4 linked regions of the Tribolium castaneum genome follow. The protein of the gene in region 4 purifies or fractionates together with the protein of the main gene of each other region. This does not show direct contact. Links are inferred from orthologs where the notes say so. Each region holds a gene or a part of one and is shown on either strand. Other genes may lie near its edges.

What was found.
Region 1: the proteins of REG (region 4) and proteasome subunit beta type-7 purify together in Homo sapiens (co-immunoprecipitation; 4 studies listed by BioGRID and IntAct, with this or other methods). This does not show direct contact. The link is inferred for Tribolium castaneum from reciprocal best matches to the Homo sapiens genes PSME3 and PSMB7.
Region 2: the proteins of REG (region 4) and Fs(2)Ket purify together in Homo sapiens (affinity purification with mass spectrometry; 3 studies listed by BioGRID and IntAct, with this or other methods). This does not show direct contact. The link is inferred for Tribolium castaneum from reciprocal best matches to the Homo sapiens genes PSME3 and KPNB1.
Region 3: the proteins of REG (region 4) and PSME3-interacting protein purify together in Homo sapiens (affinity purification with mass spectrometry; 4 studies listed by BioGRID and IntAct, counting the BioPlex papers as one, with this or other methods). This does not show direct contact. The link is inferred for Tribolium castaneum from reciprocal best matches to the Homo sapiens genes PSME3 and PSME3IP1.

Annotation. Positions count from the first base shown.
Region 1 is NC_087398.1:8,314,659-8,321,938, forward strand, and holds proteasome subunit beta type-7, read right to left. Parts: upstream 3,554-7,280; 5' UTR 3,453-3,553; coding exon 3,394-3,452; intron 3,309-3,393; coding exon 3,129-3,308; intron 3,078-3,128; coding exon 2,489-3,077; 3' UTR 2,426-2,488; downstream 1-2,425. Other genes in the region: rt (protein O-mannosyltransferase 1), read left to right, coding at 1-487, 533-753, 861-1,190, 1,241-1,458, 1,884-2,372; uncharacterized protein LOC659493, read right to left, coding at 4,061-4,143, 5,174-5,333, 6,008-6,517. UniProt on the Homo sapiens protein: Component of the 20S core proteasome complex involved in the proteolytic degradation of most intracellular proteins. This complex plays numerous essential roles within the cell by associating with different regulatory particles.
Region 2 is NC_087398.1:2,429,179-2,437,455, forward strand, and holds the start of Fs(2)Ket (importin subunit beta-1), read right to left. Parts: upstream 4,298-8,277; 5' UTR 3,961-4,297; coding exon 3,906-3,960; intron 3,548-3,905; coding exon 3,306-3,547; intron 3,253-3,305; coding exon 2,609-3,252; intron 2,113-2,608; coding exon 1,169-2,112; intron 1,035-1,168; coding exon 257-1,034; intron 29-256; coding exon of another isoform or gene 28-28; exon of another isoform or gene 1-27.
Region 3 is NC_087396.1:21,467,494-21,474,660, forward strand, and holds PSME3-interacting protein, read right to left. Parts: upstream 3,472-7,167; 5' UTR 3,381-3,471; coding exon 3,284-3,380; intron 3,212-3,283; coding exon 3,113-3,211; intron 2,817-3,112; coding exon 2,326-2,816; 3' UTR 2,198-2,325; downstream 1-2,197. Other genes in the region: orexin receptor type 2, read left to right, coding at 182-322; VGAT (vesicular inhibitory amino acid transporter), read left to right, coding at 4,247-4,606, 4,803-5,169, 5,283-6,100. UniProt on the Homo sapiens protein: Promotes the association of the proteasome activator complex subunit PSME3 with the 20S proteasome and regulates its activity.
Region 4 is NC_087395.1:26,221,844-26,229,270, forward strand, and holds REG (proteasome activator complex subunit 3), read left to right. Parts: upstream 1-2,973; 5' UTR 2,974-3,051; coding exon 3,052-3,111; intron 3,112-3,157; coding exon 3,158-3,508; intron 3,509-3,883; coding exon 3,884-4,246; 3' UTR 4,247-4,273; downstream 4,274-7,427. Other genes in the region: coiled-coil domain-containing protein 34, read right to left, coding at 1,623-1,684, 1,731-2,460. UniProt on the Homo sapiens protein: Subunit of the 11S REG-gamma (also called PA28-gamma) proteasome regulator, a doughnut-shaped homoheptamer which associates with the proteasome. 11S REG-gamma activates the trypsin-like catalytic subunit of the proteasome but inhibits the chymotrypsin-like and postglutamyl-preferring (PGPH) subunits.

The sequences.
Region 1 (7,280 bases), on a different chromosome or scaffold from region 4:
CTTTGTTGACCCAAAGCCGTTTCATTTTGATGGAGTCAATGCTACTCTTTTTCGCCTTATTTGGCATTTTTTGCATTTTGAAATTTCGCCAATACTACTCCAACCCCTATTGCATTTTTTGGTTTTTGTGGCTGGGGTTGGGGTTTACTTCACTGACGTGCGCTTTGTCCGTGAAGTACGTCGGGTTTTACTCGTTTTGTTTGGGGGTTGCCATCCTCGGACGCGACTTTTGGAAAATGTTGTCTTCCTCCACCCTCACAGATAGGGCCCTTTTGGTGCGGTTTGTGGCCCAAACGGCCGTTGCCGCTTCAGTTTCATTTTTAATCTACTTGGCTGTTTTTTACATTCATTTGAAAGTATTGTACAAAGCGGGACCACATGATAGTATTATGACCAGTGCGTTTCAAGCCTCCTTGGAGGGTGGCTTGGCTTCCATCACCAAGGGACAGCCCCTCTTGGTGGCACATGGGTCGCAGATTACTCTAAGGTAGTTTTTTTTAAGTGGTCATTATTTTACTAACTGAATTTGTAGGCACACTCATGGGAGGACGTGCTGGTTACATTCCCACAATCACGTTTATCCAATCAGATATCCCGACAAAAGAGGTTCTAGTCATCAACAGCAAGTCACTTGTTATTCATTCAAGGATGTTAATAACTGGTGGATTGTGAAGAGGCCAAATAAAAACGATCTTGTGGTTGAACAACCCATAGATGCAATCAAACATGGAGATGTTATCCAGCTAGTACATGGTGAGAACCACTTTCAAATTTTTGTTTCTTATTTTAAATAAAAGCTGTTTTTCACTGCGTTTTTATTTAATGTGGGAAGTATTTTTCAACTTGAGGCACCTTTGCAGGTATAACAAGCCGTGCCTTAAACTCCCACGACGTGGCAGCGCCCGTGTCCCCCCAATGCCAGGAAGTGTCCTGTTACATCGACTACAACGTCTCAATGCCCGCGCAAAACCTCTGGAGGGTGGAAATTTTAAACCGGGATCAAAACGGGGACAGCTGGCACACAATACAATCACTGATAAGACTGATACACGTTGATACGAACACAGCTCTTAAATTCACCGGACGACAACTCCCAGATTGGGGCTTCCATCAGCATGAAGTTGCCGCTGACCGGATTATCAATCAAGACGACACGGTGTGGAACGTCGAGGAGCACCGATACACTAAATGTAATTTTACCTCAACTCTCAGTAAACCAAATTAATTGTTTGATTAATAGCCGACGATCAAAAAGAACGCGAACGCGAACTCGTTACCGCCGAAATGATCCCAACAGCTGCAACTTCGCTAACATTCTGGGAAAAATTCTTCGAATTGCATTACAAAATGCTGTTTTCAGGCACCGAAAGTGTGCAAAATCATATGTATAGTTCGGAGCCTCTGGAATGGCCGTTGATGGCCAGGGGGATCGCCTATTGGGTCTCATCGACGAGCAACGTAAGTCAACGTAAAGATAATTAAAAAATGATAATTTTTATTCGCAATCAATATTTTAATATACCGTCGGGAAGTTCGTCATTACAAATTTATAATTTGTAATCAGCAGTACTATTTCTTTCAGATTTTTTTTCATTTTTATATTCATTATCATTATTACATTAGTATTTCCGTAATTTTATCACTCAAAAGGTGTAGTATATGATAATTAAATACAACAAATTGTTTTTATTAATTTCAAAGTTACCAGTTATTGTACGCGATGTCCGGAAAATTTTTGTACTTCAGGCCATGGAAATTGCTCTATTAGTAATTTTATGAATAATTCTAGTAAATAATTCCAATCACTGAACACTATTATTATTATTATTACTAACCAATATTAATGACTTTAGCACTTGGCTTGTAATAACGATTAATTACAGGCGCAAATACATCTAATTGGAAATCTCTTGCTCTGGTATTCCGGAAGTGCCGGCCTTGCCACCTACTCAACTCTACTTGTCTTCTATCTTCTTCGTCGACGGAGACAGTGTTACGACCTTGATACGAAAAAATGGGAACAATTTCAGTTGATTGGAGAGTTATTTTTTACAGGCTATTTGTTCCATTATCTACCGTATTTTTTCGTGGAGCGGACGCTCTTTCTACACCACTATTTGCCCGCATTTACGTTCAAAACGCTGCTATTAGCGGCCCTGCTTGAACACGTTTATTCAACAATTAGTGATATTTTTAAAATTAGGGTCATAAAGTATATTTTTATATTACTCATATTTTTATGGATTTGTTGCATATTTTACGTTTTTATGAAATTTATAGTATTGTGTTATGGTACAACCCCGTTAACTACAAATGACATTATTGATCTGAGATGGAAAGACACTTGGGACTTCATAGTTCATAAAAATTAGCAATTGTTCCATGACAGCAAATTTGATACTCATATTGATATTGAACAAATTAATCATTTTTATATATTTTATTATGAACTGAATAAATGTATTTATGTGAAAAACATTTAATTGATTTAAGCCGTGTCCATCTGTTCGGCCTCAATGGGATGAACGGCAACGTCAACCACATCAACCTTGATTACTTTACTTTTTAAAACCGCAGTGGTCCCTTTGGGGTACTGGTAGGACGACTGGCGGACCCCCTTTTTGTTGGCCTCGTCGTAAGTGCGGCGATAATCAACAGACCCCTTCCGAATTATGCACACGTCCACGTTAGACCCCGACCCCAAATCGTTGAAAATACCAGCGGCGATAGCATCCCGTACCAACTTGACCCCTTCCTCTTCGTCCAAATCGGGCTTCCAGCGCGACTCAAACACTGCCATTGCGGCAAGAGAGCCTGATCCCATGGTAGTGTACGGCAGTTTATCTGTGGAACCGTGCGGGTAAATTGAATACAAGTGGGGCCCAGTGACGTCCACTCCCCCAAGAACTAGGGCTGCGCCAATGTACCCCTGATAGCGGAAGAGGTACTGTTTAAGCATTTGGTTGGCGGTGGCCACTCGGGGGGTTCGATTGGTGAACAAACGGTGCAGCTCGAGTTGCGAGGAAATCATTTGGGTGGTTTGTTCCGTGTCGGCCGCAGTCCCAGCCCCGCAACAACTACGTTTAATTAATTTAACCCTCGTCGGTGGTCGAGTTAACAACACTTACTACATATTGGAGGCGAGGTAGTGGATTTTTTCGCAGTTTTTATCCGACACGGTGGTGTCTTCTGTGGCTCGGGTGTCAGCCCCCAGAATCACCCCGTCTTTGTAAGTGATTCCCACAATTGTGGTCCCGGTTTTGGTGGCTTTGGGCACCGGAAAGCCTTTACTTTCGAGGGTAGCATTTCTGGAAGAGGTTATGTTGATGACAAGGCAAAACACGGGTCACAATTTCACAAACAAGCGGAACTATTACGTTTTTGTAAACTTACCGCTTGCAGTTGGCGAATGAAAAACCTGGGGGCGCAATTTCGGGGCACAAAACCGACATTTTACGCTTTGTTTATGGGAGACAAGTCGGCAAAATGATTCGTAAATTTTAATTCTAGGGATTTTAGCTGTCACTTGGATGTCGGTGAAAACAGCACCAAAAATGGTGTTGGCATGTCACATGGCACAAAATGACGTAAGTCACGTGATAAGGGGGCACGTTGTTTTGTTCTACTTAAAATCATAAAAATGTTTAGAAGTAGCACAGTTCCACAAAGAAATAAATTCTCCATGACCCGGCAGCAGGTAATTGATGACATCGAGGCCGTTTATAGGGTCGAAGACCAGAGGAGTAAGCTGTACTGGTGTCTGGATGAGAGGCCCCCCAGAGAGACCAAGTTTGAGAGAATCGAGGAGTTCCTAAAAGGTACGCAGGACTTGGAAAAAAGTTCTAACATACTCAACAATTTAAAACATGAAATGGAGGCATTGCAAAAAGATATTGCTTCACAAATTGCCACCATTAGGGAAACGTCGGCAAATGCTTTAAGGAGTTGAGAATAATCAGTATTGCGTTGTTATCTATATTTTTAATAAAATAATAGTACAATACTTTAACTTATTTGACCAAAAACCAGTGTAACAATACGGATTTTATGAAAGTGTGAATTACAGGGGGTAATGCATTGGATTAACGTCAGTGTGAGCCTGAACATTACGATCTGACATGTAGAAGCAAATCAAGCATGGTCCTGTAAAATAAAAATGTAAGAATTGGGGGGATAATTAGTAAACACTTAAAACATTAAAGGGAAGTAATTTTTTAAGTCTTTAATGCATTATAATTCTTGTCACGTTTGTGACGATGAGTTCATGCTTTACACAATCTTCTGATTAACATTTTTTGAGAATGCAATGAAACCAACAGTTAGCAGCCAAAAAAGCATAAGCATTATCGCACTACAGCACGGAAGCGACAATTGTTTAAGTGCGGTGAAAGCATTATTAGATTCATACAATAATGAAAATTAATTCTTACCTGGTGTTACCTGTTTTAAATTGTAATGAAAAATGGTTAGTACTTGGTGTAATATAATAATAAGAGGAAAACAGAAAAAATGTCTAATATGAAACATGATTGTTTTATTTTTAAAAATATGTAAACACAGATCATCTTGGACGGAATGTATTTCTATGCGGTTCTAAAACTAGCATAAAGTACATAAGTAACAGTTTTAAAAATCTATAATGTAACAGTCTCTAATATTGGTAAATATATAAAATATAAACTCTTTACAATAGCATTTATGTGATTTTTAAGTACATAATAGAAATTTCTATCATTATAGTAAGACTTTTTGTGCATGTTTGTTTCTGGGTCAGGAACCAAATCATTACTTTTTCTTTGAGATGAATGATTTTGTTCCCCACCTCCACTAGATTTTGAATGGCAAATCAATAAAAGCGCATAATTACACATTTTTGAAACTAAACCGAAAATACCAGCCTCAGGGTAATTAGTAAGTTTCAACAAATGGAGAAATGGTTAAGTAGGACCCCACCCACAGTTATTGAGCCACTAATATTAAAGAGAGAAGTAAAGTAATCGAAGGAAGATTATAATGCCCTCTGTAAGTAATGATGTTTCGGTGTTAAAATAAAATATTTTGTACAAAGTTGTATCAAATGCAGTCCTCAATTGAAAAGCTGGTCATTGAATACAACATTTGCTGTCATAGGGTTGGTCAGGGATGCTAAAAAATGACTTGACTGTTAACTTGCCTGACGGTTTACAGTGCAGATGCTCTTCAATAAATTGACAGGGACATGTAAGTGAAGGACAATGCCGGCCCCCTGAGGCCGGTGGACTTACTAATAATCCACGCACTACATTACGCCCCCAACGAGATGCATATCGCAAATATAACAATGTCGCCCTCTCCTGAAAAGAAACATTTCCGGTAACGGTTTAACAACTGGAATGTTTGTGTGATATTCGAATTTGGCAGTGTTAATTTTCCTCAACCCTCCAAATGAAAAACCCGTGTGTTAAAAAAGTACAATAACAAAAACAAAAGTGCATAAGATTCGTAAAATTACTTAATCGATGCCCCGTCTGGCCAAAAATCGCGACCAAATCGGACAGCAATCTCTGTCAGATCTCGGCGGTTTATTTGCCAGTATCTCCTCGACGTACTGGCAAGGGCAAAGCGACGAATTTATGTGGAGAGGATTGGACGGATTCCCCAACATTTCGTCCACGGTCCAATCTAAACGTCTCCTGAGAAAATCTTTTCCCCACCTTTGCAAATAGCGCAAGAACAACTGCTCAGCCCGGTCCTAAATCGCAAGAAAACACTTCTATAGAGCCTGAGTTGGCAACCACAATAGAGGCCAGAAATGGGCAGTGGCTAGATATGATTGCACTCTTGTTTTTGCAAAACTGGGATTATTTATCACACCACTCCAATCTGCACCTCTACTGCTACGAAACTGTTAGTAGATACGTGGTTTGTGCAAAGAAGACAGTTAAGAGCTAATTCGTCCGGAAATTTTCAAATGAGATGTTAATTATGCGGCCAAATTTCAGTCACACTCTATTAACCCATCACCCACCTGTTTCCTGGATAGCCTCGTCGTTCGACTTCCTTGAATAACAATGTCATGGGCTGTGATGTCCATCCTCTGCTCCCATCCATTCGCCGGATCTCTCTCCTGTTGATCGATGCTCGTTTGCAAGTGTGCTATGCACGGAGCTGAGTCCATGTACAGGAAGCAAAGATTGACTTTGTGACACGAAATTTTTCCTCTATCGTCGAGTGCTATCACAATTTTGTGTCTGAGTAACTGTTTATTCACATGAGCCAGACATCGTTCCAAGTTGCGGGATAGTTTATACTTTATCCACATTGAGAAGAAAATTGCAGCCGCGTTTAAAACTAACCAACCGATACCTAACCCGAAGAGTGTAAGACCAGATAAACCCGAGAATAATAAACCGAATAGTACGGAAAATGCAAGGATGATCCAAACGACGAGCACGCGCTTGTAACACACGTTGTATAGTGTGAATCGGTAGTCATTGACTAAGAGCTCCATGGCCTGGACATACTCTTCCACAGTTAGCTGGAAAATTAAACAGGAATATTATTTACAAACAATATAATAAATAAATATCAAATAAAAATTAAACTAATCGTACAATTGTCTGAGCAATAATAAGACTCGGTGTAATTTAGGTGTTGTTTTTAAACGAGTATTATTACGCAATGTGCTAAGGAACAAAAAATTACGCCAATTATGTATGCATCGGAAAATTCATTAACAAGCAGACGCTAACAAATCTAAATCTTCAAACTGCATTTGCGTATAATTGTAAATATTAATCGTGGTATTGTGAGACTTTTATTGCTGTTTAAATAATTACATTTTTTATGACTCAACCTTGTTGATTATGCTATCGAACAAGTGTTCCTTTGCGCTTTTCTGAATCGACTTTAAGTGTTGGTTGATGATTAAAAATAAACAGTTATTTTTCTAACATTGCAGCAAAAATTAAAAGGTTCAATCTAGTCCTATTTTAAGACTGCCTTAAACGGCCTTGGAAAATGACTTGGATGTTTTCATTTGTTTGACAAATGGTAATTTTATGTTTGGCGTACTATTACTGCAATCTAAGTATTTATAGATTTGTTTGGTTCTACAAAGTTAATTTTATTTTCCTGGTTTTAATGCCACATTTACGCTTTCGAGGTAATGGGTATCAAAAATTGAACCCTTTATTAATAAAAAAAAGTATCTGTTAATATTTGCAGCCCTCCAACGTGACAACAAAAATATTATTTTAAAAATAAAAAAAAGGATGTCGCAGCACTCGCTGCGGGAATAC
Region 2 (8,277 bases), on a different chromosome or scaffold from region 4:
TGTTAAACCACAACATGCCAAAGAAAATCTGAAACCATCGAAAGCACTGTCAAACTTCGCTCAGCACACCGATTTTCGCGAGACACATACAGTCCAACGCCAAGTCTCAAACGCAGCAGATCCAACCGACCCACCACAACTAACTTTATTTTAATTTTAAAAAAATCCCAGCTATAATTTTAATAATGTCTGTTTTATATTATTTGTAACGATTTTTTGCCAATTGGATCTGCTGAAACTGTCCACTCCCACTTACCAACTAGCTACAGCGGCCGTCGAATTAGCCTTCAACTTGCGCAACTCCTTCGTAGCCCAAGTGGCCAAAGTTCTAGTACGATTAGTTCCACTTCGTCTGCCTTTCGCCAACATCTCGTTGATCGGCTCCAAATCCAGGAGTTGTAAAAGTGGTGCTCCAAAAGCCGTACAGAGATCCCCCACCAATCCGGCAGCCACCGCAACCGTGGCATCAGAATTGAACGTGTCTTGTGCCACCACGGTTATAAATTGAACGATGAAAGGAATGTGCGGTTCGAGAATCAAAACGTCGGGATTAGGTGTCGGGCCATCGCCTTTTAAACCCTGTACAATGCCCGTGTAAGCATCAAGTACACCTTCGCGTAATTCGTTCAAATAATCGACCATATCGAAATCATCTCTATCGACTTGTGCCTGCGACGCCTGCGCTAGTGTTGTGAGAACAACATCGAGGTATTTTTTGAATTCGGGGCCGATACTTAGGACGATATCGCCGAACACTGAAAGAATCTGTGGCTTGACGCTACGGTGGACCGATTGATCGCCGAGATTTTCGAGCAGAAGAGTCATGATTTCGTCGCAATAAGGAAGAGCTTTTAGTTTGAGAGCGCGGAAAATGTCACCGGTTAGACCGACTGCGGTACCACAAACTTGGTACTCTTGGTGGTTTTTAAGGCCGATGTAAAGAAACGGCTTGAACGCGTCCATGTATTTGATGAAACCTTCACCGAGGACTTCCACCAGGGTTGACACTGCCATCAGTGCGTCCTCTTGTACACCTAACACAAACAACGTTTAATTCCCGTACTTATAATTTTTTATAATACGCCTTCAAACTAAAATCTTTAATACAATTCACTGTAAAGTGTAAGCGAAAGATTTTATTTGAAGGCGCATTTGGCTGGTGAATTACCTCCACTTTTGCACGAATTCGAGTTGAACATGGTCAGCATAGCAGTCATGATGGCGTCGGATATTTGCGGCGCGTCCTCTGGTGTAACTTTCCTCAAAACCGACTGAAGTGTTCCGCACAACAACGACTGGAGATCATTAAACTGTGACCTATCATTGTGGCTCGTAATGTGTGTTTCCATTTGTAAAACTTGTTGCAAACGTTCAAGAATCACCATTGTTGTCTTTTGTACGGTGACGTAGCAATCTTTCGGTGAATTCTTCACCATTTCCATCAAAGCCTCGTAGGCTGCCGGTCTGAGATTAGCTTGAGCGCCGTCTGGACGGTCCGTAGTCTCCAAAAGCCGCTGAATTATATACTCAAAGTATTGTGACAACATGTACGTATCGGGAGTTCCCGTGTCTTCGTTAGTTTCAGCTGCATCGTAGGCGGCTTCAGCCAATCCAGAAAACGCCCAACAGACATTCGCCGCAACTCGCGGTTCAGCCTTAAGTCCATTAATCAAACTTTCCAGCAAGGGCTTAAGATAATTCTCGTTAATGGCCGCTTCGGGAATAATTTCGCAAATTCGGCCGAAAGTCCAAGCCGCAGTATCTCTCACGATAACGCTACTATCATACATCAGCTCTATCAAGGTTGGCATGGCTTGCTCCACCAATGGTTTAAGAGTGGTGTTATCTAACCCGCCAAGAATCGAGCCGAAAGCCATAAGCGACGCATCTCTAAATCGCCAATTCTCAGACTTTATGTTTTCTTTGATAAAAGGTAAAACGTGTGGAACAACTTCGTTTTCGCAGCATGTGGCCAAAAGCATTAAACAAACGCCGGCAGCTTTGCTCGGGTTCCAGTCGTCTTCGTCATCGAGCTCTTCTTGCTTCGTTAGTTTTTGCAGAAGGATGGGTACGATAAATTGGAGCGCACCTTTGGCGTAGTGGCGTGATACTCTGGAAGAAATATTCGCTTAACTGACTGACGGTTGAGTCAGCGTAACAGGACAATGAATAATCTCCGTTCTAATAATAGGCTTGTTGACTTAACACTTATCTATTTTTTGATGTTTCAAACGCAAATTGTGAAAATCAAATCAAAACAAGGCTTTTATCGATCATAAAAATACCAAACTAAAGTTAGCAACACAAAAGCATCGTTAGTTTAATTTGTGTTTATAAAAATCTGACTAGGTTTATGAAACTACTACTAATCTGATTCTTTTAATAGCATGGCAAAAGCCGTAAAAAGATTATTTATTCTTGTTAACATTTATTGTGGGAATTCTCTGACCGAAGTAAAAACAGAAAAACTTAGTTATCTAATGATATTTAACGATTAGCTGATTAAGTTACGAATTTATCATATCGCTCACAGACTGGATTTCACTTAAACGCATAAACAGGGAATTACAGTTTTTACTAATAGTCATTCCAGAAATGATGCTCTTACCTGGCTGGGGGCCGGCCTGCATCCGCTGCCTCATTGGCTTCGATGGACAAATCCACTTCTTCGTCGCTAACATTCGACCAAAATTCAATACCTTGAAGCGCCACGGCATCATTGTCAGATTTCATCGCTTCTAAAGTAATGGGAAAGAGAGCTTGGCCCATGTAGGGCTCCATATATTGATAATACAAAGACATAATTTTAACCAAACATTGCAACGCTGCAACTTTAATTTGCGTATCTGGCGACTGAGTGGCTTCGCACACCACCTCCATGATGAAATTCCTTTCAGTTGCCTTTTCGAAGTTAGCTTTAGTGAATTCGAGCGAATTTAACAACGCCTGCGTTGCCGCAAATCTGACATGATTGCTGGGCTCTGTGGAGCGCATTCCGTGGATGATCGCCGTGAGGATGTCGTTGGATTGGGTAACGAGCACGTCTGAGTCGATTTCCTGGCAGATGTAGCCGATGGTCTCCAGCGTTGCTTCTTTCTGCATTTCGGTGGAGTTTGGTTGGACTACGTTGTTCACTAGCGTGACGATCAGGTCGGGCCATTGGTGGTGCGGTAATTCGGTGACAGCGATGTAAGCCACGCATTGGGCCGCTGACGAAGGCCGGTTGGTCTCCGTGCCCAGGGCCCCTACGACCTGGAGAAAACGGTCGAAAAAAACACTAACAAAACCGGTATATAAACAATTACGTTTTTCTTGACGTAGTTGCGTATCTCCTCCGGTGCCGACAGCCATCTCTGTTGACATAACTGTTTGATGTTGGGATCTTTGGACGTGAGTTGGTTTTTCAGTTGGAGACCGGCGGCCATGCGAGCAACGGGACTGTTGCCCCCATGTCGCAAGATATCGGATAGAGTCTTGATAAATTCTAAGATATTAGCGGCGGCAGCTTGCTCAAGAAATGTTGATGCTTGCTCCAGTTCATTTTTATCTGGAAATCGTCAAATAGGCTGTGATTAACGGAAAATCACTGAGGATAATGACCTCGAAAAGTGTGAGGTTATGATGAAACTTTGCGAGCTTGAGGGCTTGAAAAGAGTTGCATTTTGGGAAAAAGAGCGACCGACGTTTCGACGCCGGTGCGGCGACATCGTCAGGTTTTTGGTTTAAGCCCTGACGGGGAGTTGCTTGGGAATTTCGTAAAATGTCAAAGCGGGTTGAAATTTATCGAAAAGGCGGAAATGAGGCGGGGTTGAGAGGAACGTGCTTTTTGATGATTAGGCATGCGATTATATGGCAGTGGTTAAAAAATGATGGCAACTTGTCAAATAGTCAAGTTTTGTACTTACCGGGAGAAACAGTTTTTTCTAGCACTTGTATAAGTCGGAGTGTTTCTTGATGCATTTTATTGTAGAATTACTGACTAATATTGTAAACTTAACGGTTTTAATTAATTGGTTCTTGCAATCAGCCGGCTAACACCACATGGACATGTAGGATGATTAAACTGGCAGGAAGGCTATATTCATACGCTGCTGCTAACGTATGAATGACGGTTCCTTATCGTTATTTCAAAACTACGGCCAATTTCAATCGTTGTTTACCCAAATTATATCAAACAGCGGTTCACACAGTTGTAACAATTTACTTGAAGCACTTTACGTTGTAAATTAACTTGTGATTTGTCACTAACGATAATAAACACTTATACTGTATTTCAGTGCGGAGACAAGATGACCGTTAAACCGATTTGCTTTGCGCGCATTTTCTTAATAGGTTTCTGTACAGTTTACAATGATTACTGCTTTTTTTGATAGATGTCGCAACCATTTATGTTTCTAAGCCAACTTTATAGTGCTTATTCAAAAATATAATATAGGATATTACATTGTTTTTAGTCCCATTTTACTGCAGCTGACGGTTTTTATGATAAACCAATTGTAAATATAACTTGAAAAACAATTTAATGAACTATTTTTCAGACTTTTGACTGTATATATCCCTTTAACGATTCTGTATAAAAATAGGATTCATTTTAAACATAATTGGCCACGCCTATCAATATTTAATTGACTAAAATAACAATATAAATAATTATTTTCTCATTTTTTTTTGACCTAAATTACTTCTCCTGCTCAACGTTTGATTACTATTCATTTTAGTCATAAAAAAAATTCAATTCAAATTATTATTATTATTATTATTATTATTATTATTATTATTATTATTATTATTATTATTATTATTATTATTATTATTATTATTATTATTATTATTATTATTATTATTATTATTATTATTATTATTATTATTATTATTATTATTATTATTATTATTATTATTATTATTATTATTATTATTATTATTGTTATTACTATTATTATTAAGATGTTTCATTTATTGCTATAGGGATGTTAAAAGTGGGTTTATTTTAAAATTAGGTAAAGTCGAGTACTTTCTTCCTGGTGAGCAAAACAAGTTTAGAGCAGAGTGTAATGCATTGTTTCTTGGGTGTTTTGCGAGCACTTTGTGTTATTTTGAACGCACTTAGCTGCACAAACCTGATGGTATCTTGCATACTGTGAATTTATATTTAACATGTTGCGTAGACACATGCATTTCCATTAAAAAAGAAACCACCTGATCGAAGAAAAGGTGAAGGCTTTAGGGAGTAATTAATTGTGGTCATTAATAAAATCTGTAGAAATATGTGGCTTGAGTGTAAGTAACTTCGTAAATATGGGTTTTACAGTGTCCACCACCTTTAATTGCCTTAATAAAACCAATTTAAAAGTCATAACATTCGCCTTTAATATCCAATAAATAAGAGTATAAAGTTTTTCTTTGGACAAACAAACAACTTATGAGGACAGTCGTACACAATAAAGGATTTTTATGGGTATTTCGTAAACGACGAATTTTCAAAAAACGAGCTAAATTGCAATATAATTGCAACATAAATAAAATTGTTGGCGTGCTTGCAGTGGGTATAGGTTCGTATTTGCAATTTGTTGATATTCCCCGGAGTATTATACAAGTACTCTGTATTTATTGTAATGACGCTCTTATGCATTACCAACGCCCGAGAAAGCATATTGAAATAATTGTGGAATTTATTACTGACCGTGGCTTTTTAACACGACCCTGATAGCGTAATTGCCAAGATGGTTACCAATTTTTAGCTTTCTTCGTTTGCCGGAAGGACATGATTCTTCGGACTGCACTTCCTGGTGTGGCAATGTCCACGAGCTACCTTACAGGTGCATCTACGCACATATTTTTTTATTTCAAACCTTAGGAGATGATGGTCTTAAATCTAAGACATGGACCAAAATAGTTTTTGTGTTTTGCTCTATAATTTTATTTCGAACTAAGTATTTCTAACTAAGATAACTACATTATATTCTCAACTTTTATCTGTTTTTTTTTAATATTTGTTTAAACTTTTTCCTTTTTTATCATTATTATTATTATTATTTAGCATCACTTTGCGTTTCATGTCTTCGTGAACCTGTAACATGCTTAAGGCAGGCGTTATTACAGTGTGCGGTCATGCCTGAATCGCCTAATTTGCAGGGTAACCTTTGGCAAAATCTCCTTCATTCGCATTGATTTATAGGAGGAATTTGCAAGTATCGTAAGCACATACACTCGCAATTATTGTCACCCTCTATCCGGAACGGATACTTCAATAGGTCAGTATTCCACGAAGGTGAAGAATTACATCACGTTGGATAAACAAAGTTTCATATTGTGATTTATAAGTGCAAGAAAAGCGAGCTGTTGCAATAATTTAATCCGCAGGTCTTTTGTCGTGCTTATATTCAGTCTGATACTGTATACAATAAACCAATTCATCTCCATCGGCATTCAAAAATGAGCATAAGTGAGAACGGAGATGTAAATAAGACGTTGTTCTAGTAAAAATACAGCGACAGTAACGAGATTTATGCACAGGAGGTTGTAAAATATTGCTCAGCTTGTGCAAAAGTATCAGAATTTCTCAGACAATTCCTGGAAAGATTTTTTCGATTAATTCTCACTTTGCGCTCCGAGACCTCACACCACGTCGGGGAAAGGACATGTTTTGCTCATTATCTGCGTTACTTTTCGCCCAGAATGCTGATAAAATGGGCCATAAATTTGCCACTCTGACGCAGAAATATTTAATAGGTGCATTTAATTCCATTTCGCTATCGCTTATTAGATACAAATACAAATCGCCGACATTGATGATGACAGTCCGGTGTCTTTGTCTAAAATAAATCAAATTTTATATCGGCTGCCATATTAACTTTTAATAGTACAAGAAATGAATCATAAATACTAATCACTCATTCGTCTTGAACTTGAGACAGGATTATTCATTCGCCAGTGACTCGAACCGATATTTATTGTTTGTGCTGGAAATGAATTTTTTCAGTGTCCACCGATATGGGAGATTCTTTTTGTAAAAAACGCAGCTAATTGAGGACAAGTCTTATACAGTGACAGCCTCACCATCGGAAATGAGCCGACAAGAACTGGACGTTATCGTTATAATCAAGTCAAATGGAGGCTGGAACGGCAGTTTACCTTATTTGGCAGATTTAAAAGCGCTTGTTGGGGAATTCACTCCCGACCAAACATTACCATGTTAATGTGGTGTATTTAGACCAGATGAATTGAATCTGAGGATCAGTGCTTAGTCAAACACCTTCATAAGGTGCAATTGCGAGTGTTGTGCGGGCAGGTAATTGTAGTGCAATTTGCTCCGAACCGAACATGCTGATACTAAATTGATAAAAAGGTCTTAATCGGCAATTATTTATGTAGAACGTGAGAACTAACAATGAAACCCTACAAGGAGACGCGTATTCGTTGCACGTTCATTTTTAAAGCTATTAAGGACTGGAATGCTCTCGCACGATTTTTTCAATCCCATTTGAAAATATAATCAATTCTTTAAATATTTCTCCCGGACTTATTTCTTCTTTAGCCGGAGGTCGCGCAAAACGGGGAGTTGAGTCTGATGGAGCACTCAGGCCGAGTCTATATTTAATGGTTTATTCCATGAATTTATCTCTTTTGAAGCAATAAACGTAAATAGTGAACAGCTGGATACGGTAAAGCATTTCATAATCCATAATCCACATTTTTACACCAGGACACGCTCAGGACATCAAAGTGTGTGCAAAAACAGAAAAAGCGCAGATTACGTTAGAACCTCGAGTTATGCAAATAGCTAATAATTTCCTAATAGCTTAATAACTTTAATAGATATAATAATTGTTTCGAAGCACTCATCAGTGCCTATCTCGGTCAATCCTACGCTGTGCCAAGATAAGGAGACGAGCGTTTCTCTGGCAAAAATTACACCTGTCCTAAGGGCGTGTCCTACATGACTTATTCGAAAGATTTGCATGTGATGACGTGCAATTATTGCCCCGAGATATCCGTAACGCAACTGCTAAAACCACAACGACTGTGACGAATGAGCACTCCCTGTGATCTAATTCCATGGCTCCTGACGTCACCTCAGTAGATGTAATGACAAATTGCACGCTCTGGGTGAATACCTACGAGGATTTTTCTCCAACCGCAAATTAGCGATGGGCAGTTTGCACTTTTTATGCCATTATGCTAACTTCTAACAGTCATAATTCGGCCAAAATACCCCGCGGAATAGGGGATTCACCATTTCTGTTAAAATATTACTTACAAATCGATAATTATCTAAAG
Region 3 (7,167 bases), on a different chromosome or scaffold from region 4:
TAATGCAACAGGTGGCCGTGTAACACCGCCCCCAGCCCGATTACACAATAAAACATTATGAAAATGGAATAAAACTGCAATATTTTAATTCCGAAACTTCCACTCCGCCGAGCTAAAGTAAACGAATTCACCCCGAACGAAACAATTAACTCGGAATTAAAACAAACATAATTTTTTACAGTGGGGCGACAGTTCCGGCTCGGGCACACAACTCCATTACTTACACAGGATTAAATCAGTGCCAACTGTGCATAATCAGCTTCATTTCACGCTCGGACGCCTGCAGTCAAGCCAGAAAACGACCAAGACGTGCGTGGTTTGAACACCCAAGCCCTGGTTCAATACTTGTGTGGGACACCCTGTACATAAGCCCGTTTTGTTTCAGAAAAATCGAAAAATTTGGGCTCAAACAGTCAGGTTTTTCGATTCGTCGACCATATCACGTATTTTTATACCGGCCTAGCTGTAGTTTTAAGACTTTTGTGTAAAAATGTTTAATGTTATACAGGGTGAGTCATTTGTGCGGCGTCCGAAAATACCGACTTTCTTAACAAAAATCACTAAACTATTTGTTTTTGTCATACGGGGTGTTTTGGATAAGTGATTTAATTTTTTGCACTAGAATTTGCAATAAGGAAGTGGGTATCGTCCAGGGCTGCTTTATGCCCCACCCTGTAGATAAGCAAGATACGCTTTGCATTTCCAACTCGGCCTCTGGCCTCTCATCATCACCATTCTTGCTACTCTCTGTTCGATGTTCATGTCTGTGATTTTCTTAATGTATTTCTGTTATTACTATTACTTAATAAATATGTTTTTTTATTCCGACTTGTTTTATTTCCGGAACTACACAACACGAATCCAAGTTTTTTTCCTTCATTTCACTGCACAATCCGATTAGAGAAACAGAATAGAAATACCGACGACTAATTAACCCAATGAAACAAAGCGTTTTTTGAGTGGTTGACAAAAAAATAACGCAATTAAATGATACAAATGCAAAGATGTTTGTGCTTATCGTTTCCGACCGGAGTTGGGTTTGCGACCCTAATGGCAGATAATATCATTACGTTGGTTATATTGTGGCAACTGGAGTTTTGGGAGTTGGGAAAATTGAAATGTTAGTGGGTTTAAGTCTCCAGATGTTTCTTACCACAGTTGTGACACGAAATTGCGAGAAACTCATTTTTTCTTTATAAATAAACTAGTGCTTTGGCGCATCACAAAGACCTCGGTGACTTTGAAATTATATTAAAAAAATACAAAACGTTATTGAATAAAATTCAAATTATTGAACGATATATCAGTTCTTTGGCCCATTTGTAGATGATGTCAAATTGATCGAGAATAATTAAAAAAATGTAATAACTAAAAATCAACAGAAAGACTTTAACAACAGAAAACTCACTTACTTACTTTTTACATCATTATTAACGTACTTGAATAATTAAAAATGCAAATTTAGTACAATTTTTAGGCTTGTTGAGTTAATTTCTTAATTAATTGAGTTAATTTGTTTTTTTTTGTTTGAAAAATATAAAAACAATAAAAAAATCGCAAAACAATTGTTTCTGGCTAAATAACGAGCTAATGGTTCGAAAAAAGGCAATCATAGTAATGTAATTAGTTAACTACCAACAGAATTTGTTGATTTTTCGATCTGTTTTAACAAAATATTATTTCAAAACGTTCCTGAAAGCCTTGAAAAAGGTCAAAATAACACGATTTTCGTCTCAATTGTTTACTCTTTCGGTCCTCAAGAAAGGCAATCAAAATAAATTCAATTTTAAATCTATAATATATGGCGTGTTTTACTTTAACATAAAAATGGTCTAAATTAGAAGAAATCGATTTCTTAATTTTTCAGAAAGTTTGACGAAATTTTTCAAAAAAGGTTTGTTAAATTTAATATTTTTTGATATATAAAAAAAAGTTGGGCCAGACGAGGAAACGAACCCGCAATTTTTGAGTTGGTATTTACGAATTCCCCACTTTTTACAATAGCAATAACCTATTTTTTTGGATTGGTAACAAAAAATAGAACTTACCAGTGGTACCAACCTCCAATGGTTGTTGTGGCCCATTTTTGATGTGAAGCAGTTTTTTGTTTCAAGGAAAAAGGGTAATAATTAATAAAACAAAAAATTTACTCTAAATGGTTTTATTCCCTTAAGAGTTTCTCCAACAATAAAAAACACCTTTTTTACCGATTTATTAGAAAAACACAGGAATCAATAATAGGTACACTCTATTTACAATTAATTCAGACAATTAACTCAGATAAGAACCCTCCGATTCTTCCACAAATCTCACTGAATAACCAATTCACGTTTCCTTCTCTTTCTTCGTTATTTTCCTCCCCAGAATATCAATTTTCGCGCTAGTTGTCTCCACTTCGGAATCCGAACTGTTCTCATCCGAAGTCGATTCGTTGTAACACCCCAACCCTGGCAAGATCCCCACACATTTCAAGGCCGAATCAGCCACAACTTCTGTCTTTTCATCCTCAATTTTCCTATGTTTCGCTTCGTCTTTCTCCTCCTTCGCCTCACTATTTTTCCTCTTTTTGACCACAACCCCCTTGAGCAACTTCTGTTGCGAGGTTTTACTCGTGGGGGCCTTGGGCTTATTCACAGCAATTTCGGCCTGAAGGCGCTCTTCTAGTGACTTTTCCTGCAAGGTGGCAACTCTGTTCCGATAATCGTTCAATTCGATCTCTTCCTCTAGCTCTTTTTTACGATCAGCTGCGATCTTAGTTCTATCAACAAGGTCAAGAAACTCGATTTCGTCATCATCGAGACCCTTTATCATATTTTCTGCAACGGAAAAATGCGCATTTTTTTGGTAAAGAAAGTTCCAGAAAAGTGGAACAGTAGGGTTTACCTTCACTCTGGTCATAATAATAATTCTGCTGCAACATTTTTTCAGCAACTTTTTGTCAAAATCGTCTGTCAAAACTCACGCAAAACAACACAAACTATAAATAAACAAGTGTAAAACCCGAACTGAAACACGGATTTTTGACCGCAATTATTAGGTTAGCTTACGTAATGAATGACTCATAAATTTTATATCTTTTAAACGAATGTCACGGTTAAGTGGCGGGACTTACTCAATTTGTGCGCTTCCTCATACTCCAGGTCCTTCTTCTGCTTCTGTTCCTGCAGCCGCTCGTACAAACTGCGGTGGTCGTAGGGCTCCTCAGGCCGCACTGCGCCCCAAACACCGAAAATTCGATTAATTTCGCTCAAATTTGTACAAAAGTGGGGTTAGGTCAGCTCACCGATTGGATCGTCGGGTTTGCGGACCCGCTCCCACTCCTCCTGTCTTTTTTGCCTGGCTTCGGCCAATTCGGCCTCGGATATGAACCCAGAGCTCATTTTTGCGATTTATTGACGAAAAGCGCTCAAAAATTCAATAAAAACATTCTAAGGGTTGTGACAGGTTTGACACTGGGGATAAAATTTAAGTTACCAGATTTGGCGCTCTGTGCAAATTTTGCGGTCTCATTTGCCTAAAATCCTGACTATTTTATGAGGATTCGGGGGATTTAAGTAGTTCAAAGGATGGAGGAAGGAAATTTAGGGAAATAAGTCGGATTTTGGCGGGTTTGAGACGTTTTGGCTCAATTACTGAAAATGCAAAGTCTCTAAAATTTCAGTTTTCAGTAACTTATTGATCATTTTACGGTACAGTCGGGGGAAAGGCTGAAATTGGGGTGAATGCAGGGGAGGAATAAGGGTTTTTAGCGAAGTATTAATATTATAATTCAAAAATATTGGAAATGAATTCCAAAATTTCGGAAAATTCCATAATTGGTAAATTTTTTTTTTTTTAATTTCTTCTTCAATACTGTATAAAAATTACTACTGTTTTCTTATTACACCGATAAATTTACATGAAGACCGGATTTTTAGAAAGTTAAAAACTTTAAGTTTTAAGCCAGCCATTAAGTAATAAAATTAGGTAATAAAAAGCAACAGAACTGGAAAAGAGGAACACAAAAAATTTCGAATTATAATTTTACAATGTTCTGACTGAAACAGCGAACTGAGTCCGTGCCTGCGCACCCCGGAGTGTACCCGGAGTCTGCCAATGTACCACATCTCCTCCGGTCAACCGCCGCCAAGATGGAAATCACCACCTTCCAAATCGCCCCCAAAATGGTCTAACCTGCACTTTTCGCACACTTAAAGTAAAAAATTAGCGTTTGTTCCATCTTGGCGGTGCTCAGTGCCATCACACAATGAACCGTCTGGGCAACATCCGCTTGCCGCCTCTCTCCGCCGCCGTCAACGTGGCCGGACAGACCTTCCGCCAGATGATCCCCGAGCGGGCCCCCGGACACGAGCGCGTCCACTTTGCACAAGTCAACCACACCACACATGGGGGCACCACCGACGAGCACCACGAGATGACCAACATTAAGCAGACCACCAACCCCTTCCTCCAGGAGAACTTCGAGGCCGAGGACAGCTTCAACGAGGACCTCAAGACCCGCATGTCCTCGGTCGACTTCTCCGAAGGCTCCGACTTTGTCGAGGGGAAGTCTGATGTGAAGATCAGCGAGTATCAGGCCGCCTGGAACGTCACCAACGCCATACAGGTGCCCCATCAAGATTTTAATTTTTTTTTTAATGTCAGTTTTTAAGTACTTATGTAGTAAGTTTTTCAATGAAGGATGCTCTAGATTTATAAAAAAAATGCCACAAGAGAAATAAAAAATTCATTTATTGATAAAACTTTCGACCACTTTTTTAAGTTTACGATTGAATAATTTTTTAAAAAGTTTTTTCTCCTAGGGCATGTTTATCGTGTCGCTGCCATTTGCGGTCCTCCGAGGGGGCTACTGGGCCATCGTTGCCATGGTGGGCATCGCCTACATTTGCTGTTACACTGGCAAAATCCTGGTGGAATGTCTCTACGAATTTGACGTCCAAACAGGACGCCAAGTCCGAGTCCGAGACTCTTACGTTTCAATCGCTAAAGCTTGCTTTGGCAAAAAATACGGCGCTCGGATTGTAAATATAGCCCAAATTATCGAACTCCTGATGACTTGCATCTTGTACGTGGTGGTCTGTGGCGACCTGATGATCGGCACCTTCCCAGATGGGGCTATAGACACCCGATCGTGGATGATGCTAGTCGGGATTTTCCTCCTCCCTTTAGGTAACATTTTACCTTTAGATTAAGTATTGTTGCACTTTTACGAGATTACGTATGTGTGCAAAATTTCAGTTCGTTCGGTTGAAGCTTTGAAAATAAAAGATCAAATCTTTCAGCGTTCCTCAAGACCCTCCAGAGCGTGAGTCTGCTCTCGTTCTGGTGCACGATGTCCCACATCCTCATCAACGCCATCATCCTCGGCTACTGCCTCCTCTACATCGGCGACTGGGGCTGGGGCAAAGTCAAGTGGTCGCTCGACCTGGAGAACTTCCCCATAAGCCTCGGCGTGATCGTCTTCTCCTACACCTCCCAGATCTTCCTCCCGACCCTTGAAGGCAACATGGAGGACCCCTCCAAGTTCCAGTGGATGCTGGATTGGTCCCACGTGTGGGCCGCCGTCTTCAAAGCCCTCTTCGGCTACCTCTGCTTCCTCACTTTCCAGAACGACACCCAACAGGTCATCACCAACAACCTCCCCTCGGCCGGTTTCAAGGGCCTGGTGAACATCTGCCTGGTCATCAAGGCCCTCCTCAGCTACCCTTTGCCCTACTACGCCGCCTGCGAGCTGCTCGAGCGCGCCTTTTTCCGGGGAAAACCCAAAACGCCCTTCCCCACCATCTGGGCCCTTGATGGCGAGCTGAAGGTATGGGGGCTGGCGTGCAGGGTGGGGGTTGTGGTTTTTACCATCCTCATGGCCTGCTTTATCCCGCATTTTGCCATTTTGATGGGGTTTATTGGGAGTTTTACGGGGACGATGCTTAGTTTCATTTGGCCGTGTTATTTCCATTTGAAATTGAAAAGGGAAGGGATGGATTCAAGGACGGTGGCTTTTGATTATTTTATCATTTCCCTCGGTATGCTTTTCGGGTTTGTCGGGATTTACGACTCGGGGAGGGCCCTAATTAACGCCTTCCAGATCGGGCTTCCCTTTTAAAAACCCACCTTCAGTAAATACGGACATGGTTACCAACTGCTATTGTCAATTCGTACGCTTTTAGTCTAGAGAGGCGCAATAAATGATTCAATTATTCTCACGTCCTGCGAAACGGGAAAATTGTGCTTTTTTTAAAGATAATACCGGGATTGTGATTCTTGTCGTCAGGTTGGCAGCAATTTTGACTTCAAATTTAGTTTTTGTTCTGTAATCTGGCTGATGAAGATTAAAACAGTAAAAATTTTGCCGTTTCGTGGGGACGACAGTTTGTATTTACTGAAATAAGGGTTGGTGTTCGTGGGGTCAACGAGTCTTCCATTACAGATAGCAAAGTTTGCCTTCAACCCTCAAACGAGCATTCAATTTGTCTTCCAATTAGGAATTAGATGTTCTAGTATCTTAAATACGTATTAGGTAAAATGTGGAATTCACAATATCATTTGATTATTTCGCAAAAATACGGGTGGCAACACTGGTCAAGTATTTAGAACTTCGGTACAGGCAACGTTAATTTCGTGTGACCAAATTATTCATTGCTGTGATTGTAACAGTCTTCCAGAAGAAATATCCTGTAACCAATTCCGGCGCGAAAAGCAATAATTGGGGATTTTTTGCCGAATTACAGGACACTTTTCAGATGTATTAAACGATGTCTTCCATTTAGCCTCTAGTGTATGTCTTCCAGAAATTATTTGTAACTGTTTGTATGTGTACGATGTGTAAAAAAAGGAGTCACTATATTATACAAATTCTGTTACGCTGTATTTATATAATTGTTAGTAACTTGTTACAAATTGTTATAAAGTGTGCTAGTCTAGATTCATTCCATTTTGTACAGGAGGAACTGGTTTTAGTTGAAATTCATTCGATTTGTTTGAATTTTTATACATATCATTACACGTAATTGTGACATTTAGAAAGTGAACTGTACAATAAGTAACTGTAACACTAGTTGTTGGCGAGTTGTAAAAAATGTGTAAGACTAAATAAACCGTGGATAACACAATCACTTTATTCCCCCCAAAAACAAACAATTTATTCAAACACTTTATTAAGTACAGTGGTAC
Region 4 (7,427 bases):
TTAAACTAAATCACAATATGCGCACCCTCCTGACATAACAGTGCTAATTAGTTCGTGGTTGCATGTCCAAATTAGGGGTGGGTTTAATTAGCTAATTCGTGGTGAAATAAAAAAGTTTGATGGGTGAAACCAAATTTTGGGGCAATTATTGTGGGCCACTTATTGTTGTAAAAAGTGAGTACAATACCAGTCTAGTGATTGGGTCCACGTCTGTCGGCACTGGTCAACTAACCCCTCAAAATTACATGTTTCCGAGCCGATCAATTTCAATAAATCATGTAAAAAGTGTGGTCGCGCATCGGCCTTTCCGAAGCCACTGAAGAGTGTTTATTCGAGCGGTGCAAGCGCTTTTGCTGAAGACGTTCCACCCCTATTTAGCTATTCTTTTTTCACAATAGGTGACCGCATTAGCCTCGCCTTATTGATATGTTTGTTGGAGGCGCAAAATATTGACAAGGACGCATTTCTAGCGTTTGAATCGACTCCGGAATACATTTATTACGCGCATACAGGTTTCTGCTAAAGGAAATTTAATGATATGGCTTGTATGGTAATGAGGCCGGACGTGCTTTTCGTGGTCATGCATTGCCAAGCCAAAGCTCTAAATTCTCGATGTTTTTTCGTTACGCAAAACTTGAAAACATGGAACTTTTATCAAGACAAGCAATTGTCTTCGTACACATCTGTTGTCAGGTGTTGTTGCTAACAACAAATCAAGAGCGGTCACGAATATTTTACCGAACCATTAAGTGTAATACGCGTTTATTTATTATTTTAGATTGCTTTGTCCATATTGATTGTCTGGCGAAAATTCGATTAAGTTTTTGCCGCGAAATTAGGCTTTTGTGTTGCAATTTTTTCACTTATTCTTCTTTGAAACCAATCAAGGCGGACAAATATTTCGGAACATCATCTTTGTTGCTTTAATAGACAGATAAGCCATAAGTCTTTGTAGAAATGTTGAAAATTATTAGATTTTTTTAAATTTAAAAAGAAAAGCTTCGATATTTTCTTTAGTATTTCTAGATTTTCTGGACCGAAACGTAATTATTTCGTTAGTTGTTGTAAAATTAAGCAAAAAACTTGCTAAATTTGAAGAAAATGACCTATATTCTGTAGAGGATTTTGTCAGAAATAGCACAAAACAATCACAATCATCAAACTGAGTAAAAACTTGCATCATCTTTGCTTTTTTTGAGCTTTAAGGTACGTTTTTGAACTTAATAACTATTCCATTTTAAAATTTTTAAATCATGCTTTTGGCAGTTGAAAAAACACTAAAGTGCTTTCAAATTTTTAAAAAATGTGGGTACACAAGTTTTTTTGTGTATTTTTTGTTTTTTTTTGAGCTTTCAACCACATTTTTTTTGAACTTGGGAACGCGGAATTAGCAAGAAAATCATATAATTGGCCCAAAACGTAATTACTCTGTTAGTTGTTTTAAAATTAAGTCAAAAAGTTACTGAATTTTAGGACGAAAATAACATAAATTGGGCTTTTTTCGAGGGTTTTAACATGTTTTTAGTCAGATTTTGAGAGAAATGAGTCAAAAAATCACCAAAATGAGTAGGAAACTTTTGTCTTTGAAAGAAAAACTACGCTGTGAGAAGTTTTATTTTATTCTAAGTGATGGGATTCCAAGGATTTGGGTTGATATAAGTGACCGAGGTTGACGAACAAAGGGCTGAAAAAAATCATTAAAACGTGCCCTAAACCTGGAAGTAAATTACATTCAAGTCCTTTATTCAAAGGGATTGGTTTTTGCCGATGTTTGGAATTTTTCAGCCACTCATTGAACGCTTTTTCATTGTCCTTCAACTGTGTTTCTTTGCGTTCCAGCTCGTTGATCAAATCCATTTGTTTCTTAATTTTCTTTTCCAAATTCTCTTCTTCCTTCTTTTTTAACCAGAGCTGAAAATTGAGCTGATTTTCCAACTGGCGTTTCTCCTTCTCCAACTCTTTTAACTGCTTTTCTTCCTCTTCTTTCTCTTTCTTGCGTTTCGCCTCCTCCTCCAATTTTTTTTTATTCATCAACCATTTCCTAAAGTTATCTCTCTCTTGCTCGAGCAATTTTTCCTTTTCCTTCTCTTTTACTTTCGCTTCATCGACGATTTTCTGCTTCTGAACTTTCTTCCTCGTCTCGTCTTCTTTCTTGATCAATTTTTTGATTTCGACTTTGGAATTTTGCGACACTTTGGTCTTACTTTCGGGCAGTTTGAGCACTTTTCTTGATTCTTTCAAAATAGGAGGACAATCGGCATGAAAAGGACACGTCTTCTGGTCTACAGAACAAGTGCAACGTTTGGTCTTTACTTCCGGAAAATCCTCAAGCGAGGATTTTCCCGCAATCGAAGTGTTTTCACTTGACACATTCGCCGAAAGCGGCTTTTCCACGTAAATAGCCGAGTTTATGAATTTTCGTACGACATGAGTGGAAACTCTTCGATTGTCTTCTGACATTTTCAATCAAAAAACAAAGACAGGGGCGTCAAACAATTCAAACTCGAAATTTTCGCGCATTTCGCGTTCAGTGACTTTGGTGAATCAACGAGCGCGTCCTGGCGTTAGCCCTTTTTTTTGCATGCGGACTGTTTTTACGTTTTATTTTTTTTAACAATTAACCAGATAAACCAAAACTTATAGAATTGTTTCATATTTTTTTTTGGCAACTCGAGGCCAATTTGGTCGCTAGTTTTATTGCCAACCTAAATCGCAAATCGCGAAATCACGCTGTAAATATTTGTTGTATAGAAATTCCAGATCAGTGGGATCAAATTTTAGCAATCTGGCACAAGTTGTTGCATGATTCAATTAGTTGTTGATTTGGTGGATTGGGGATCGCGTCCTGGTGCTAGGCCCAATTCTCGTCCTTTCTTTTGCCATTGCCCCAAACATTTAGGTTAAGTCAACTCAAGTGAACAGTTCAAAAGTTAGTTCTAATTGTATATTATGGCAGATGCAAAAAAGGTGAGTGGGAAAAAAGGCGCGTGCCGATTCAGCTCCGCACGATTTCGTGACAGTTTTGTCAAAAACTGGTCAAAATTTGAAGTGATGCCCTCTTCGAGCTCCATTTCCGTGGAGGGCTGGGACGAGGAGTCGGCCTACCACGAGGTCTCGATAGCCCCCTTGTGTGTGGTTGATAGTTGCGTTTTCGCAGGTGTTGGAATACAAAGACAGTCTGAAGAAAGAGGCCGAAGAGTTGCTGCTTAAGGGGTTCCCCGCGACGATTGTGAAGCTCAACGCTTTGCTAGAAACGCCCCAGTTCAAAAATCGGAAATTCACTGACGTGCACCAGGAGCTGAACATCCCGGTGCCAGACCCCATTTTGCTCAACAGCCACACGGACCTGCCTCCAGCCAAGAAGGCCAAGTATGACAATAGCATATCGCAAGACGGCACCAAGGTCATGATCCTGCCCACGGGGGCTGTGCCCACTAACAAGCATCTGGTCGAGTTGGTCGAGGCTGTGAAGCCCCACATCCGCAAACTGGTTGAAGACTCCAATACTGTAAGTTGGCATGGTAACCATGCCAAAATTTGAATGATCTAGTCTCACAAGTATTCCACAGCCTACTCAATGCACATTCCTGTGAACAATCGGAACTTATAAAATGTTCTTAACTGCCTTTAATTGTTTAAATGACAAGCAAATACATCATAAAAAATTTAGATAATACAATTAAATTTGTGAACACGGATAATTTTCAGAAAAAACAATATTTCTGAGCCTTTTCGGAGTTACATACGTAATTTAGTGTTTGACGTATTTTAAAAGCGGCACTTGTTTTTTGTATTTTATTTTATATTCTAAAAGAAATGATGCTCTTATGTTAAAGTATTTTCGTTGCGAGACGAGGGACGAGTGTTGTGAATTTTTTTGCAGATGAAAATGTGGATTTCTTTTATGATTCCGAAAATCGAAGACGGCAACAACTTCGGGGTGTCGATCCAGGAGGACACTCTGGCCGAGGTGCAGTCGGTGGAATCGGAGGCGGCGGCGTTTTTCGATCAAATCTCGCGATATTTCATTTCTCGAGCCAAGGTCATCTCGAAAGTGGCGAAATACCCGCACATAGAGGACTACCGAAGGGCCGTGCAGGAGCTGGATGAGAAGGAGTACTTGAGTTTGTGGTTGGTCATGTGCGAGATCCGAAATCGGTATTGTGCCCTTCACGACATAGTTATTAAAAACCTCGACAAAATCAAGAAGCCACGTTCCACTAATGCTACTGAATCTTTGTACTAAAACAGATAAATAAATGCATCTTTCGAATTTTGATTTTTGTAAAGTGTGTACGTGACAATGAGTATTATACAATATTTTCGTAATAAAGTTATTGTGAGTTTTTTTATCTGTAAGGGAACTTGTAGTGACACTTAGCAGTGAGTAGCTGTTGGGGTTATTTTTTATTTAAAATAATACATTTCATAAATAAATTATAAAACGACTTTTTATTCCAAATGCTACACTAGTACATACTTTTCGTAACTGAGTTTTCTAACGGTAGGTATTAGAGTGAATACGAACAAATAGAATCGTTATGAGATGATTTTTTGTTTGTTGCTTGCTCTAAGTCTTCCACTTTCCGAGAAAAAAACACAATATAATAATTCCGAAGTTATTGCTCATTAATGATCCGGATACCCAGAATCGACCAAGATCTCGACAAAAATTGAAAAAATCAAACTCCAAAAAACCGAACATACCTATGCAAAATGATCCGGGGAATCGATTGGAATCAAAAAAAGCGCTAAATTCCCAATAGTTTTTTAGTTATGAATTTTTGAGTATATGATCTAATTTTCGCTTTTATTTGAATTTTCTCGAAAACTATAAGTCGGACAACAATAATCTTTTTTGCAAATGATAGATCATTAAAAGGGCTTTCCAACGATACTACACTTCATAGGGTTATCTCGAATAGTTTCAGAGCTATTGCTCGAGAAATGTTCCGGGTACCCAAAATTGACAAAAACTGCGACGAAAATTGAAAAAATCAAACATCAAAAAATCGAACATGTGGACTTTTTGTGGACTTTTAACAACTTTTATGGGTTGTTAAGACATGTAGAAGTCCATAAAAATCTACTGAAGTGAGTTTAAAAAAAAATTTTTTTTCACCTCTTTGAAGGTAAGGAAATTTGAGCAAAAAAATTGAAAATTTTAAATTGCGTGAAAAATTAGTATAATAGAGAAAAAAAGCCGCTGAATCCAATGGAACAAACCGCACTGCTCTACGACTTTTAGTTTTCGAGTTATGAATTTTTTTAATGAATAAAATTTTTCACTATGACAAATAGCTACCCTAAATTTAGGCAAAAAATTTTAAATTTTTAATTCTTGTGAAAAATCGATATAATATGTAAAATGAGCCGTAGAATTCAATAGAACAAACCGCAATGCTCTACGACTTTTAGTTTTTTTTTTATGAATTTTTTTAGTGAAAAACTTTGATCGCCTCTGTAGCCGGAACCGTCGCCCGGAGCGGCTCCGGGTTTGGTCGAAAAAATAGACAAAATTAAGCGCTATCAGATGGTTTTTTGTTCGTTGCTCTAAGTCTTACAGTTTCCGAGAAAAACGCAAAAAAAGGTTTCCATTTTCACTTTTTTTCAATTTTCAATCGCCAATTACGGCGAAACTATTAAAGATATCGAGAAACGGAAAAATGGAGGATAACCGGAATAAAAAACTCTACAAAATGGCATAGGACTCAAGGCGATATCTCGCAAAAAAATTTTCAATTTTCAAACGCCGATTACGGCCAAACTAAAAGAGCTAGGAGAAAACTCTTTTTTAGATCGGAAAGAGCACATCAAAATCTATAAGATAGAATCGGTTTTATTTGATTTTGAGACACTTTAAAAATTGACCGATTTCTAAGGGGGGGGTGTTAATTTTTTTTTAATTTTTTTTATTTTCTCATTTACGGCTAAACTATTCTAAAAAGTGGAACCATTTTGATTCATACCTATACAAAATGATCCGGGGAATCGATTGGAATCAAAAAAAGCGCTAAATTCCCAATAGTTTTTTAGTTATGAATTTTTGAGTATATGATCTAATTTTCGCTTTTATTTGAATTTTCTCGAAAACTATAAGTCGGACAACCATAATCTTTTTTGCAAATGATAGATCATTAAAAGGGCTTTCCAACGATACTACACTTCATAAGGTTATCTCGAATAGTTTCGGAGCTATTGCTCGAGAAATGTTCCGGGTACCAAAAATTGACAAAAACTGCGACGAAAATTGAAAAAATCAAACATCAAAAAATCGAACATATGGACTTTTTGTGGACTTTTAACAACTTTTATGGGTTGTTAAGACATGTAGAAGTCCATAAAAATCTACTGGAGTGAGTTTAAAAAAAAATTTTTTTTTTCACCTCTTTGAAGGTAAGTGTATTACTCAGGAAATTTGAGCAAAAAAATTGAAAATTTTAAATTGCGTGAAAAATTAGTATAATAGAGAAAGAAAGCCGCTGAATCCAATGAAACAAACCGCACTGCTCTACGACTTTTAGTTTTCGAGTTATGAATTTTTTTAATGAATAAAATTTTTCACTATGACAAATAGCTACCCTAAATTTAGGCAAAAAATTTTAAATTTTTAATTCTTGTGAAAAATCGATATAATATGTAAAATGAGCCGTAGAATTCAATAGAACAAACCGCAATGCTCTACGACTTTTAGTTTTTTTTTTATGAATTTTTTTAGTGAAAAACTTTGATCGCCTCTGTAGCCGGAACCGTTGCCCGGAGCGGCTCCGGGTTTGGTCGAAAAGATAGACAAAATTAAGCGCTATCAGATGGTTTTTTGTTCGTTGCTCTAAGTCTTACAGTTTCCGAGAAAAACGCAAAAAAAGGTTTCCAATTTCACTTTTTTTCAATTTTCAATCGCCAATTACGGCGAAACTATTAAAGATATCGAGAAACGGAAAAATGGAGGATAACCGGAATAAAAAACTCTACAAAATGGCATAGGACTCAAGGCGATATCTCGCAAAAAAATTTTCAATTTTCAAACGCCGATTACGGCCAAACTAAAAGAGCTAGGAGAAAACTCTTTTTTAGATCGGAAAGAGCACATCAAAATCTATAAGATAGAATCGGTTTTATTTGATTTTGAGACACTTTAAAAATTGACCGATTTCTAAGGGGGGGGTGTTAATTTTTTTTTAATTTTTTTTATTTTCTCATTTACGGCTAAACTATTCTAAAAAGTGGAACCATTTTGATTCATACCTATACAAAATGATCCGGGGAATCGATTGGAATCAAAAAAAGCGCTAAATTCCCAATAGTTTTTTAGTTATGAATTTTTGAGTATATGATCTAATTTTCGCTTTTATTTGAATTTTCTCGAAAACTATAAGTCGGACAACCATAATCTTTTTTGCAAATGATAGATCATTAAAAGGGCTTTC